2 linked regions of the Rhinolophus ferrumequinum genome follow. The protein of the gene in region 2 purifies or fractionates together with the protein of the main gene of each other region. This does not show direct contact. Links are inferred from orthologs where the notes say so. Each region holds a gene or a part of one and is shown on either strand. Other genes may lie near its edges.

The links. The genes of interacting proteins can lie anywhere in the genome.
Region 1: the proteins of GP6 (region 2) and LYN purify together in Homo sapiens (affinity purification with western blotting; 5 studies listed by BioGRID and IntAct, with this or other methods). This does not show direct contact. The link is inferred for Rhinolophus ferrumequinum from reciprocal best matches to the Homo sapiens genes GP6 and LYN.

What each region holds. Positions count from the first base shown.
Region 1 is NC_046297.1:22,212,482-22,219,772, forward strand, and holds the start of LYN (tyrosine-protein kinase Lyn), read right to left. Parts: upstream 3,006-7,291; 5' UTR 2,710-3,005; coding exon 2,235-2,709; intron 1-2,234. UniProt on the Homo sapiens protein: Non-receptor tyrosine-protein kinase that transmits signals from cell surface receptors and plays an important role in the regulation of innate and adaptive immune responses, hematopoiesis, responses to growth factors and cytokines, integrin signaling, but also responses to DNA damage and genotoxic agents.
Region 2 is NC_046298.1:48,294,623-48,302,425, forward strand, and holds the start of GP6 (platelet glycoprotein VI), read right to left. Parts: upstream 3,006-7,803; 5' UTR 2,522-3,005; coding exon 2,488-2,521; intron 1,124-2,487; coding exon 1,088-1,123; intron 972-1,087; coding exon 714-971; intron 1-713. Other genes in the region: RDH13 (retinol dehydrogenase 13), read right to left, coding at 7,078-7,322.

The DNA of each region.
Region 1 (7,291 bases), on a different chromosome or scaffold from region 2:
TCGCATCTCAGATGTTTTGGTGATTTATTTTTGAATACAAATATAGTGGAACTAAAAGTCTTTGAAAATCATTGATGTGCAAAACTGCTGGACTACTTTTCTACTAAAAGAATACAAATTCTCCACATATCTTTGCTACACCAATGACTCTAAGATAAAGTGGGTCTTTTGGGTTGCCAAACTACTTTTGCAGGCTATATCTTATACTCCAAATCAAGCCCCTTCTCCAGGTAATACAGCAGAGTAACCAGTCCTGAGTGGAGTTTCCCACTTAGAGCTGGCTCTGAGATAACTTAACAGTCCAAAAAGTCCCTCAAATCCCCGCTTTAGAAACCAGGACAGAGGACCGGTAGGCTTCAAATGCCTTAGGAACCAGGCCTGTTCCTTCTGCCTTGCATAGGGCCATACTTCATTCGTTCTTCCAAGTAATCTCAACTATGTGAGAGGCTCCGGGGCTAGCATTTCAGACAAGACAGACAAAGCTGTAATCATGGAGCTTTCATTGTAGTATACACACGCTAGCAATTCATAATATAACTCTGATTACTTCTATGAAGGAAACGTTGGCTAAATAAATGGCCCAAGTAACTTATCCCAAATCATAGCTCTGGTAAATGGTAGAACAGACCCTACCTCAGGTTTCCTGGCTTCTGTGTTCTCTTCCCTTACTTTGGGGCCTTCTAACCTTTCCTCAGGAACAGGGTTGTCCCACTGTGCATTTAAAAAGGCCCTATCACCAAAAGCCTCTTGTGATCAAGTTAAAGTTCTTCAAGTCTTAAGACATTTACTTCTTTACCTCCAAGTGAAAACCAGGGATTACCTGAATCCCACCATTTGCCAGCAGAGCTCACTTACTGGAAGGACTTTGAGTACTTAAGAACTGCCTGTATTCTGTCGGTGCCTACTCCCGGTGGCACTACTTTAGGTGTTGCCTGTCTTCCTGAACCCTACAGCCAGCTGAGGGCAGCCAATAAATCACAAGTAAGTCAGACATCCTTATTGGCTAGTCTTAGGGTGAGCCAGACTCCTGGGCCCTGCTTTGGGACAGCAAAACTCTGGTATATTTATTAAGCAGATTTATTAATAAGGACAGGTGGCTAAATCAGACAGATAGTCTTAGGTTTAAAATCATCAAATTGCAAAGAACCAGGGAGCCTTGTTTTTTTTTTTTTTATGGAAAGAATTATTTGCAATAAATAACAGCGCCATTCATTAAATAACTACAACAAATAGCACAGGAGGTAGACAGGTTCTCCCAAAGATGAGGAAACTCAAAAAGGGTATTTCAACCACAAGCCCAGGTTCACACTCAGGTGGGAAATTGTAAGGCCTCCATTCCACTCGGGTTTCTGAGACGGCAAAGTAGTTGGGTGGATTTGGGGTAAAACACAAACACACGTTGGAGACATGACCACAGAACCACGCTGGCTGTACAGCATCTAGAAGCCATCACAGGAGGCCAAGATAACGCAGGACAGTGGGAAGTGACGCTTACACCCTTCCCCCAAGGCAAAAGAAAGGCAACCCCTGAATTCTTAAAATAACTCTCGCTTCCTCCAGGCGGACCGAGGCACGGGACTGCTGCTCTGCAGGCCGAGAGGCGCCTGGCTCAGCGGGAGGGTGCGCACCAGCCTCCACCGCACCCCCTCGACGTCACGCTGCTGCCGGGGCTCTGGAGGAGGGCAACTGCCCGCGGGTCTGGAAGAGGGCCGCGACCGAGCCCCACCCCTCGCCTCTGGGGACCTGGGCCCAACGGGAAGCCCAGATTGTGCAACCCGAGGAATCCCCACCAGGGTCCCGGCCAGAATCCCTGCCGCGCCCACTCTGCGTGGAGAGGGGCTTCCCTGTGACGCTCTGGGAGTGGCCGAGTGGGGACAGCATGCGGCCCTCGGGTCTGCGCCAGAGGGCCTCGAGGTGTGTCCGCCCGCGCGCCCGCTCTTCCACCACACCCCTGCGCGGCTCCCTGGAGGAGACACCTGCTGAGCTGCTCGCCCCCGCGTCCTCGCCCCTCCTGGCCCGGTCACCCACAGGCTGAAGGCATCTGGGTGCCCTCACCGCCCGGCCGAGCGCCAGGACTGGCAGGAAGGGGCGTGCGTCCCACGTTCCCGCGGTCCGCGCCGACCCCCGGCCCCTGGCCCAGGGCCTGCCTCACGCCCGAGACTCCAGCCAGTGGCACAGAGGCGGACCCCGCCCGGTCCGCCCTGGAGCCCGCGCTCTTGGTGCTTGAGACTCACCAGCTCGCGGTGAAAGTAGCGGGGCGAAGGGGGCGGCGGCGGCGGCGCTCCACGGTGACTTGAGTTCAGAGCCCGGGGCGCGACGGGGCGGCCCAGCAGGGCTCGCGTAGAGTGGGGCTGCGGGCTGGGAACCGAGGACGAGCGGCGGGGGTCTGCAGGCTAGGGGCCCGGGGTGACGCGGCCGCCCCGCCTGACACGAGCTGGAGGCTGCAGCGCGTCGGTCCCGGAGGCGCCACGGCCGAGAACGAGCGGCGGGCGGCCGGGCGCGGCGGGAGAGGAACTGGCTGTCGCTGGGCTCGGCCGAGAGGTCCCAGCTACTTCCTGGTGCTCGGATTTGCATACTGCGCCCAGGGGGCGGGGAAGTGACCGTTTGGACCCTGCCCAAGGTTTGGATCTTTCGTGTGGCCGTCGCGCGGAGCTTTGAAGGCAAAGAAACCTGGCGTCCCAGTGAGCGGAGCTGCCTCGGGCCCAACATTCTGTTGTAGAGACGACAGAAGGATCTTCCAGTGAGACCCTCTGGAGTCTTGGCACAGACGAAACATCTTGCTTCTTCTTTCCTTCCCTTCCAACCTAGTTCTCAAGGTATTAGGAAGTGGGGTGTCCCTGACAGGAGAGGTGGCGTGCTCTGATCCCCCAACTTTTGGAGTTCTTTAAAGGTAGGATGAGATGTGTTGAGTTGGTGCTTCATTGAGTTCTTAATGAGTACAGAGTAAGCTCCTTAAGGGTGTACACGGTGGTGTTCAGAGTATTGATGGGAGGCAGGGGGCTCCTGAGTTAAATGGCTTGGCAACTACTCAGTTCCTCAAAACTTAGATTTCCTCCTGGGAAAATGGATGCCTACCTCGCAGGGTTACCGGGAGGATGGGCTCACGCTGTGTCTAGCACACATTAATGGTTGCTAACTTTTTATTCCTACTATCTCCACATCTCCACATGTAACACTGTGTTTGGCACATGACAGGTGCCAAACACAGTGTTTGTTGAAAGAATGACTGCGTCTTCAAGTGTGTATTCCAAGTCAGTAAATGACACTTATAAATCCAAGGCATAATATTAGTCTCAGTCACCGTGGATGCGCACTTGTTCTAAGCAAGATTCTGTTCACTGGGATCCCAGCATTGCACTACACTGTGGAATTTACAAGGAAATAAACAGAACCCTGTAGAAGATGTGGTCTTTGTGTTAATAATAGCAAACACTTACATGGGGACTCTTGGGTGCCGGATACAGCGCTAAGCACTTCAGACCAATTACCTTTTATTAACAATGTTCTTAAGAGGCTGGCCCCACCTGAGGAGGCTACAGCCACAGTCCAGCAGTGAGATCAGCCACCTTGAAACAAAATCCCATAAATCAGTCATTTGTTACTGGTAAGAGAATAGAAGGTTTGCAAACTACTGCCTTAAATGAAAAAAAAAATAAAAAGCAAGGTAGTTTATACCTGTGATGTTCACTGGTATGGGTCTGTAGTGGTTAGTTTCCTGCTGAAGAGGAGGGAGTAGGTTGCCTGTTGGAAGGTGTTGATTGTGTGAGTGAAATCTGTCACAGATTCTATGGAGTAATTCACTGCCTAAGTCCCATTTCCTGGACTTTTCATCAGGTTGACCTCTCAAGTACATTGGCCCTAAATTAAATATTTACTATTACCAGTGAGTCCTTAAGATCCTGCTAAAGGTATGTTGGCAATAAAGAATGGGAAACAAAATATTTGGTGTTGGTTAATCCATCTGGAATAACCTGTGGTTTTTGGTAAAATGTCTCCTGGAGTAAGGAACAAAGCATCATCAGGCAGAGCTGGGCTTTCACTCATCACCATTTCTAAGTCCTCACACAAAAGCATCCTAGCTAAGTTCGTCACTTAATTTATCTAGAGCGCTTACAGTGGGAAACAGTCATTTTAAACCAGACTTAGGTACTTTTTAGCATTGTCTACCTTGGTTTCACATGTTAACTTTCTCTCAACTACTGGTAAATAGTAAATCCCTCTTTGGAAGGCATTGCTTCTTACATTTACCCTTTTCCCATTGTATCCCTCAAAAGTCTTCTTAGGTGCTTTAAAATACTTCGTTAGCATTGATGGATTGGTTCTTGATTGATGGACTGAGTTGTCTCAACAGTCTTCTCTATTGAGAATTGAGCACAGAATGGAATGATCAGAGGCAGGTTGCAAATCAACAAAGACCCCTTGACAGGGGAAGCAGGCTTTGCAGAAGGTGAGGGATGTAAGCAAGGAGGACAGAAGGAAGGAGGAGTGAAAATGGCTTCAACTACGTACAATCCATTCTTAGTTTTTTCAGATTCAGATTCCGCATTTGCAAATTTACCTACTCACTAAAATGTATCTGTAACCCCAAAACCAGTACTCACAGCACTTCATAGTCATTTGTGGACGTGAGCACAGCAGTAAAAATTTGAATCTCTCTGCGTTCACACTCCCAGCCAACGTCAAACAAGGCGATGCCCTGCCTTCTGTTTTAGCTCTAATACTATAAACATGCATCTTTTGTGTGGTCTGTGTAGTGCCTTGGTTTTTCATTTCTGTGCTTTTTGTTTTTGATTTCAATGTTTCACTACCCTCAAGTGTAGTGCTGAAGTGCTGTCTAGTGTCCTAAGAGCAAGAAGGCTTTGATGTGTCTTGTGGAGGAAATACGTGTGTTAGAGAAGCTTCGTTCAGGTGTGAGTTATGGTGCTGTTGGCTGTGAGTTCAATGTTAGTGAGTCAACAATATATATTAAATAAGGTGTCTTTCAGGAGATTCACACATAAAACAAGGTCATCTATACATCAGTTGATGTAAATATGGTGACCAGAGAGACTCACAGCAACCCAACCCTGTATTCGTCCCAGGAACAATGTTTCGATGTTAGCTAATTCATTGTTTGTGGTAACTTTATAGATCATAACTACGGCAAATAATGAGAATTGACTGTGATAAGAACATACCATCATTCACTGGAAGAGACATGAAATCTCTGACCTCAAGGAAATTCTCCTTCAACACAGGCTTTCATCACCACACCCCTGACCATGGCACTTGCAGCCGAGACTGGTCACTCCTGGTGCACACTTTCACACCAGCCTACCCCCCCTGCCGTCTGATCTGCAGCCCATCCTACTGCTTAGCTATGGACTGTCCCTGGTGCCCCTTCCACTCTTCTGGGAGCTGCCTTTCCGGGTTTCAGACTCCTCAGTCCAACACAGGGACTCTTTTGGATTGTCTGCACAAGCCTCCTGGTTGGCCTTGCAGGAAGGGGAAGAGTGGAGGATAAGACTCTCCATCTGACTCTTACAAACATGGCTGCAGACCTGGTTCTTGAGGCCCAAGTAGCACATAATACAGAGCAGTGGCACATGAGACTCACCTGCCCAGGTCCGACCCAGATAATTAAATCAAAGTTGGTGGGGTGGGAGAAAATGGGACCCAATAATCAAGCTCCCTGGATGGTTCCAATAAGCAGCCAGGATTGGGAGCCACTATGAAAGCATCCCAACCAAACATCCTGGGAGAATATGGGACATGTTTGCCAAACAAATGGGTTTCTACCCATCACCAGCATTCCAATAAAATACACTAGAAAGACTCTCATCTGACACACTTGGGCCCGATGAATCAAAACCATTGTTTAAAGTGGGGGAAATCATAAAAATGATATAAATGTGCTTTAGACATTTTACTTGTATTTTAACCTAAAGTATATTCAATTACTGCCAATCTGTTGTGTAATGCCAGGGTGTTTCCTCTGAGTATGAGACCCCTGCTTGGTGTTTCTGTGTCACCTTTCTTACCTAAAAGACACCCATGAAAACTCATCTCTGATTTCTAATTATACCTTTGTGGAAGCAGAAGAAAAGCCGGCAAAGCCGTGTCACTCACTCAGTCTCTTACCTTCTCAGCTACCTTACCCACACCTAATGCAGCAGAATTATTTGCTTTTACCATTATTTACCTGTGACTGCTTTCAAATATTCAACTTAGTTTGCATAGCAATAACATCTTCACTCATATTTTTTAAGTTTCTATTTAATTAAATTGCCTATTTGTAGTAGCAGGCACAAATTGACATGAAAACCACTGACTTTTGGAAAAGTATGTAAGTGTTGCCAAGAGGAGAGGGTTCATTTTGCTGGAGGGATAGAGCGGTGTTTCACAGAGGGAAGCAAGAGTGTTGGTTCATCCAGAGTTCCTTGGGAAGAGGCTGGTTTCTGAAGCTTTCTGTCAGAACTACCTCCCAGAAACTGGACAGGTCGTGTTATGTTAAAGCCTCTAGTCAATCCTCACACCAACCAGGTTTTATTTTCTACATTTGATAGACATGAAAATGGTCTCCAAAGGGGTAGGGAACTTTCTCAAATTCACCTTGCTGAAGTGGCTCCCGCTGGATTTGAACCCCTTTCTGTCTGACTGACTGACATCAAAGCTGGAGCTTGTCCCCTTAGTTTGCAACACCTTCTACAAAGTTGGGGCTTCTCAGCCCGGTACATCACAGAAACAGCACACATTTAGCGCCTGAAAGCAAACAGGGCTAAATGTAGGCCAGGGCCTTCTCAATACTTTCACGTTATAAAGGAACATCCATGCTACCTGAACGAGAAATGTTAAAAACTGAGCCAAATTATAATGGTAATAGCTCCCATAACATAATTAGCATTGGAATCTTATCAAATTTATAGCAAAGTTAATTTGTCCTTCAATGATACACAAAATGGTGCTACATGGTAATTAGACCACAATGTAAAACTATGCATAAAAATATTGTCTCATGTAGTCAGATTGGGGGTTCTGGGGCCTACTGGGGAGTGTCTAGCAGGTAAGAGGGAGAATTGATTCTGACTTCATTTCTGTTTCCTTTCTGAGGAAGGAGGCCCTAGTGCCACATCCTCCTCCTTCCCTACCTTCTGATCTTCAGTGAGGATGCCCAGACCCTCAAATCAAGCTGGTCTCAGGACCTTAGTATCTGCCCTGCCCCCAGTTCTAATTCTAGAGGTGCCAAATCTGTTTTCTAGCTGCTCTGAAGGTATCTAGAACCTCATATATTTAGTTTTTCATTTTGACATAA
Region 2 (7,803 bases):
GACTGAGGCAAAGGTTCCAAATGGTTTTCTGTACTTCTTTTGGTTAATTTTTTCCACACTATTAGCATAGTTGAAAAATATTGACAATTTCTACAGTAGGTTATTAAAACTCAAAACACTACTTTAAGTTGAAATATTTTATTTATAACCCCCCCCCAAAAAAAAAAGACAGGATTTATTATCATTTTAACACTTCTGGCTTTCATGGAAACAAACTCATCGATATTTTCAAAACCTATCTTGGAAAATAACCATTTAAAATGCATTGGAAAGAAAAGCATAAGCTGGGGACATTTTATTCCATCTAAAAATAAAAAAACGCATTAGTGCATGAATAGAGGGGTGCACCTTTTTCCTTTTGCATCAGGCTGGGCTATGGCTGGACCATCACTGACGGATTCTGTGTTTACTTAAAATTGTCATATTTTGCTCATCATGGATGTTTTTGCATTGATTTTGACTTTTGTAAAAAGATAACATTATTGGTGAAAGCACTAACATATGACTTACGTTGATTAAGGTTTGTGGCACGTCTCCTAAATGTAACACTCAAGGTCAGTGCCTCACTGGCCCCACCCAATCCCAGCCCCCTGGGCCACTGAATTTACTGTCATCATCATCTCCATTTTCACCCTCTTCCAGCCCAAAACTGAGGACCATTTCGCCCTGAGGCCACATGTCCAGTTACACCCCACCCCCTCCTGTCCAGTTACCAGTAGCCACCAGCTCCAGCTTGTCACTGGAGAGAGACCAGCAGGTCCCGTTCTGGTAGAAGCAACGGTAGCATCCAGCGAAACTTTTTTTCATGGCCGGGATATGGAGGACAGCCTGGTCGTTATACTTCCCAGATTTCAGTTTCTCCAGGCGGTACAAGTCCACGCCTGGGGGCCCCTGGCAACGGATGGTCACTGGATTCTCCAGGGGCACAAGAGAGCTGGGGTGGGCCTGGAGGGAGGGCTTGGGTAGCGGGCCTGGAAGGGAAGCAGAGGGTAGTGGAGGAGAGCCCCCAAACAGCACCCTCCTCCTGAGCCCTCACACCCCTACTGCCCTCTCACTGTCTGACCCCAGAGGAGGGATCCCCACTCACAATTCTGAGCTTGTATCACCTGCTCCAGACACAGCCCTGAGGACAAAAGAAAAGGACCAAATGCTAGAACCTTGAGTGAACTCACACTTCCTGCATGCTGGGCATGGTGATAGGACATTTGTATGCTCAGCTTTCTTTTGTCATAATTGTTTTCTCAAAGATACACATGCACATAATTGAAGTGAAAGAAGCCAGCCGTAAAAAGCCACTACTGTGTGATTCCATATATATGAAATGTCCAGAAGAGGTCAATCTGTCCAGAGACAGAAAGCAGATTAATGGTTGTCAGGGGCCGGGGGAGGCGACGTGGAGGGGTGAGTGCAGTGGGTATGGAATTTCCTTTGGGAGGGGTGAAATGTCTTGGAACCAGATAGAGGTGACGGTCGCACAGCAATGCAAATGTCATGAATGGTAAATTTTCTGTTAAGTATGTGATTTTGCCATGAGGTTTGTTGATTTTAAGCCAGCAGGGAATTGCTTGCCCGCGCCAGCTCCCTCCAGGACCCCACCCCATGCACACACTTTTGATGACTAGATAGAGAAGTACCTCCTCTTTGAGAAAGGGATTGTGTGTCGAGTGGGGTCTCTTACTTTTTTCTCCAGGTTTATCAAGATATAATTGACATATAACATTGTGTAAGTTCAAGATATACAATGTATTGATTTCATAAATTTATATATGGCAACATGATTGCCACCTTAGCATTAGCTGACACCTCCATCAGGTCACATAATTACCATTTCTTTTTTGTGGTGAGGACAGTTAAGATCAACTCTCTTGACAACTTTCAAGTATATGAGTATAATACAGTATTGTTAGCTATACTCACCATGCTGGACATTAGACCCCCAGAACTTATTCATCTTATATGGAAGTTTGTACCCTTCAACCAACATCTCCCTATTTCCCACCCCTGGCCCCTGGAAACAACCATTCTACTCTCTGCTCCCATGAGTTCAGCTTTTTTAGATTCCACATATAAATGAGGTCATGCAGTATTTTCTTTCTCTGTCCGGCTTATCTCACTCAGCATAATACCCTCAAGGTCCACCCACCCATGTTGTAGCAAATGGCAGGATTAGTGGAGCCAGTACCATGAGGAAGAATGAATGACAAGTTAAATCTATAACCTCGTCCTGATATTACTGAGTCCACATTTTTAAAAAATTATGTAGTGGGAGAAAGTTGTGGCCAAAACTAGGAAACTTGTGTTCATTTCCTGGCCCAGCCAAGGATAGACTACAACAACTCAGACAAACACTCCGCCGCCCTGGGCCCCACCCAACAAATGAATGGGCCTCTTGCTCCAAACTTCACTGCCCACATGTTTAAAACCTTCTTTGTCTCGTAACCCACTGCCTGCCCCTCAGCATTTCCCAAATCAACCCTCAGGACTCACCGAGGCAGAGGAGGACAGCCTGGAGTGGGGACATGGTTCCTCAGGAGGGAAGCTGTGCAGGAGCAGAGACACGGGAGGCGATGAGAACGAAGCAGGCGCTCCTCCCTCCCCCGCCAGCCTGGCTTTTCCTAATTGAGACTTATCACGCGGGAGCTGTTCCTGCTGCAGAATGACTTGCACACAGCTCCAAGGAGCCTCAGTTATCTCTCGTCACCAGCCCAGGTCATACCCTGTGGGCCTATGGAGGGACTGTCCATGTTCTGATACTTCCATAAACTTCCTATCCCTCACTGGGAATATGCAAATCAAAACCACTACAAGATATCACTTCACACCCACTGGGATGGCTGTCATCAACCAGACAAATAATAACAAGTGGTGGTGAGGCTGTGGAGCAGATGGAATCCTCAGGCATGGCTAATGGGAATGGAAAATGGTGCAGCCACTATGGAAAACACTATGATGGTTGTTCAAAATGTTAAACATCGAATTGCCACATGATCCACTAATTCCACTCCTGGGTATAAACCCAAAAGAATTAAAAACAGAACCTGAATAGATGTTTGCACACCCATATTCATAGCAGCATTATTCAAAAAAGCCAAAAATGAGGGAGAAACCCAAGTGTCCATTGATGAATAAACAAACTGTGGCATATTCATACAATGAAATATTATTCAGCCTTAAAAAAGGAACAAGAGGGGCCGGCCCAGTGGCTCAGGCGGTTAGAGCTCCATGCTCCTAACTCCAAAGGCTGCCAGTTCAATTCCCACATGGGCCAGTGGGCTCTCAACCACAAGCCAGTTCAATTCCTCGAGTCCCACAAGGGATGGTGGGCTCCGCCCCCTGCAAATAACATTGAACACGGCACCTTGAGCTGAGCTGCCTCCCGGATGGCTCAATTGGTTGGAGTGCATCCTCTCAACCACAAGGTTGCCAGTTCGACTCCCACAAGGGATGGTGGGCTGTGCCCCCTGCAACTAGAAAACGGCAACTGGACCTGGATCTGAGCTGCACCCTCCACAACTAAGATTGAAAGGACAACAACTTGACTTAGGAAAAAAAAAATCCTGGAAGTAGACACTGTTCCCCAATAAAGTCCTGTTCCCCTTCCCCAATAAAATATCTTTAAAAAAAAAAAAAAAAGAAAAAGGAACAAGAGGGGAACAACCAAGATGGCACAGTAGGTAAACACTGTGTTTACCTTCTCTCACAATCACATCAAAGTTACAACTAATGTACAAAACAACCATTATTGAGAATCACCTAAAATTAAGCTGAACTGAAGCCTTTCAACTAAGGATGTGCAGAAGAAGCCACTCCAGACTGGTAGGAAGGTCAGAGACGCGGAACAGGCTGGTCCCACACCTGTGTGTGAGCATTAGGGATTGGGAGGGCTATTTCACCTGTGGGGGTCCCCCTCCCCTAAAGGAGCAAAAGATCCCAGCCCCACCCCAGCCGAGGGTTCCATTGGGGGGAGAGAACTCCCCATAATTTCTGGTTGTGAAAACCAGTGGAGATTGTGACTTAGTGAGACTGAGGGCGGCTGCACTCACAGGTGCTCCCCTTAAAGGGACGGCGCACTGACTTACCCACCAACGGAATCCCTTGCTCTGAGCTCCAGCGCTGGGGCAGCAGCTGGAAAGGCAGCAGGGACAAATGATGGCAATTGAGTTCTCTGGCTTGGGAGAGGGGCTGGAGAGACAGCTTTCTCCTGGACAAGGAAGCTGGTGGAGGCCATTTTTTCTTTGTTGAGCCCTCCACCTTCCCAGGGGGCAAACACAGGCAGCCCCCATATCTGAGTCTCCACAGTTCATTCACCACACGCTGGTGATTTGAGACTCAGCTCTGCCCAACTTTGGGGCACACCCTGGCCACTTTCAGTGGGTTTTCCATGCAGTCTGCCTGCCACTGCTCAAGCTGCAGACTTTTCTAGCATCTCTCAAAGTTAGCGGAACCCAGACAAGCAGCATCTGGCTTGAGCATATCCTGTAGTGGCAGCTGGCCTTAGTTTGCAGCTGGGCCTCTCAAAGTGCTTCCAAGCACAGCACAGGCAGCAGCCATCTGCAGATTTCTTTCTGGCTTCCACTGGGTGCCCCCAGGTGGGGCACAGGCTATGGCTGAAGTAAGCCTACAGCGGATCCCCTCCAAGGTGGTCCTAGTGCTGGTACGCCCAGTGCCAGCTTCAAAACGAGCTGGAGCATCACCTAGCCACCTCCAAATAGAACACACCCAAGGGGCACATTGGGCAGGCACCTGAGTCCTGCTGAGGCAGATCCTGTTCCATAGGATCAGCCCCTGCACAACTCTTCCACTGTAGTCAAGGCCAGTCCTCACAACCAGTGAGCCCAAGGGTCAGTCCCTCACACTGATGTGCAATTATCAACCAAGGCTCAACTACAACAGGAGGGCACACACAACCCACACAAAGGACACACCTGGAGTGTGTGGCTCAGGCGATCAGAAAGACTGTGCCACTGAAACCTACAGCACACGTACTACATAAGGCCATTCTACTAAGACCAGAAGACATAGCAGGCCTACCTACTACATAGAAACAGACACAGGGAGGCAGCCAAAATGGGGAGACAAAGAAACATGTCCCAAGTAAAAGAACAGAACACAGCTCCAGAAAAAAAACTAAGCAAAATGGAGATACGCAATCTATCAGACACAGAGTTCCAAACACTGGTTATAAGAATGCTCAATGATCTCAGGGAGAACTGCAACAGAGAGATAGGAAGCATAAAAATGGAGATGGAAACCATAAAAAAGAACCAGTCAGAAATAAAGCATTCAATAATGGAAACAAAGAATATATTACAAGGAATCAACAGTAGATTAGATGAAGCAAAGGATCCAACCAGCAATGTAGAAGATAAGGCAGAAGAAAATACCCAACCAGAACAGCAAAAAGAAAAAAGAATCCAAAAAACTGAGGAGTTTACGGGGCCTTCAAGACAATATCAAGCATACCAACATTCACATTATTGGGGTACCAGAAAGAGAAGAGAGACAGCAAAAATATGAAAACCTATTTGAAGAAATAATGACAGAAAACTTCCCTAACCTGGTGAAGGAAATGGACAAAGTGACAGTTACTATAATGTAGGGAATATAACCAATTGTAAAGATCATGTAAGGTGCCAGATGGGCACTGGACTTATCAGGGGGATCACGTCATAGACTGTGCAGATGCCTGACCAATGCGCTGTACACCTGCGCAGTTATATTAGTGGCCAATGGCTCACTGGTTACAGCTGACGGCCAACTAGCCACAGCTGATGGCCATCCAATCACAGTTGATGGCCATTTACTACCTGAGCCAGCACCTTTCCACGTGAGGCCGAGAGCCTGGAAACTGCACTCCTGGCTCTGTCCCCACAGTAACAGAAAGAAAACTAACTGGATTTATAAAGTGTTGGGTGTCTTTGATTCAGCCTCCACCACTCCCCTCCCCCCACTGCTGGCATCCAGGGCCAGTCATTCTGTGCTGTTTTGTGGATTGTAGGATGTGATGCAGTACCCCTGACCTCCCGAAGTATGGTAAATATTAAATAATACATTTTTTAATGTTAAAATGTTTATCTGGATTACTGAGCTTTTGGTGCCATCCCCCCTCGAATCTGTGCCCGAGCTAAGTGCCAGCCCTGTTTCTAACACAGAAGACAGCTAGACTTCAATGACTGTCGCCACATAAAAAGAGGGAAGGGACCCTTTCACCTCTAAACATCTGAACATGATTGTTTTATTGTCCTGATATTTAACCTGACGTCTGAGTTTCCCAAAAGGAAGAAATACATGAGTTGTTCTTGTTCAGCTCGTTGGCACTTCCTCAGTGGCATGGAGGAAGAAAATAAAACCTGTGACTCAGCTAGATGTTTTATTATTAGTCTATTTAAAGAATAAGCTTGAGAGTCTATGGGCCAAGGAAAGGTCATGACTCCGGCATCCGGGGTCCTCAGCAGCAGCAGCTGTTGTCCAGGGCGTGACTGGGGGATAACAAGGCCAGGTCTGGCTTATGTAAGACCCTCAGTAAACTTCCTCTGGGAAGGAATGCACACTACTATTCACTGAGCCAAGAAATGACCTGTTCGGCATCACGCCATCCTGTGAGGTAGTCAAGATATTGAACACATTCTACAGTTGGAGAAACCGAGACTCGGAGAGGAGGCTGGAGCTGTACAAGGTCCCACAGAGAACCGTGAACTCGACCGTGTCCGTCAGACAACTTGTCCATAGCCATAAGGTCCCCAACTGTGGCCCACACCAGAGGCTCCTCTCGGCAGGCACAGTGCCCCAGCCAACCCCTGGGTAAGGTGCCCACCTGCAGTCCAATCCACTGTGGCCACAAAAGAAAAAAACCAGGTCAATACTGCCATTTAGAGGGTGATGTGGGCATGGCAGCCAGCATTCCTTGGCCAGTGCTGCCACCTAGAGGTGAAGCGGGTATGGCAGCCACGTTCCTTGAAATCTTGAGGCCCATACAATACTGCCACCTAGACGGTGATGTGGGCATGGCAGTTATCCTTGGTCTTGCTCCATCCTGATGACTCTGCCTCCTTGGTGGCTTTCACACCTGCTCCCAGGTTATTTGGGGAGGAGCTCTCCCCTCACAGAGGACCCATGAGACATCTCTAAGCCCACCAGGCGGGCACTTTCAGCCCAAAGCCTCCGGGCTACCTCCTCATCCTCTGCCTCAGGGGCCGGAGCTTTCTCTTTAAGTCCATCGAAGTACTTTCCAGAAACGCCTTCCAGTTCCTCCGCCACCACCAGGTAAGTGCTGGGCTGGGCCGCCAGCTGGGGGCTCTTGACCAGCAGCCAGAAGATGGGTCCTGCAATCAGCCCACAGAACATTCAGTCCACACACACTCAGAGAGGAGTACACAGAAAGCCCTACACCACCCCCAGGACACAGGGCCCACTGAGGCCAGACGTTGGCCTTTAGTCCCACAGAGCCCAGTTCCAGGCCTTTGCTCCTAGGGTGTCCTCCACCAGGAATTCCCTTCCCTCGCTCTGCCTAGCCAAATCCCTCCAGATGCAGGGACTAACCGAAAAGCTGCCTCCCCCAGGAAGCCTCCCTGGCTTTCCCAGGCAGATGGAAGGCCTCTGTCCTCTCTGTCAGCCCTGAGTCCCACCCTGCCCCATCGTGCTTTAAAATAACGAGTACTTGTTGAGCACCTCCAGTGCCAGCCTCAGCCTAAGACCCTTGACACTTGGCACTCACCTACTGAATGTTTCTCAGCATTACAAATCCAATTATAAAGTTCTAATTATTTACTCAGCTTAAATCTGGGCCAGGCACTGTGCTGGCCT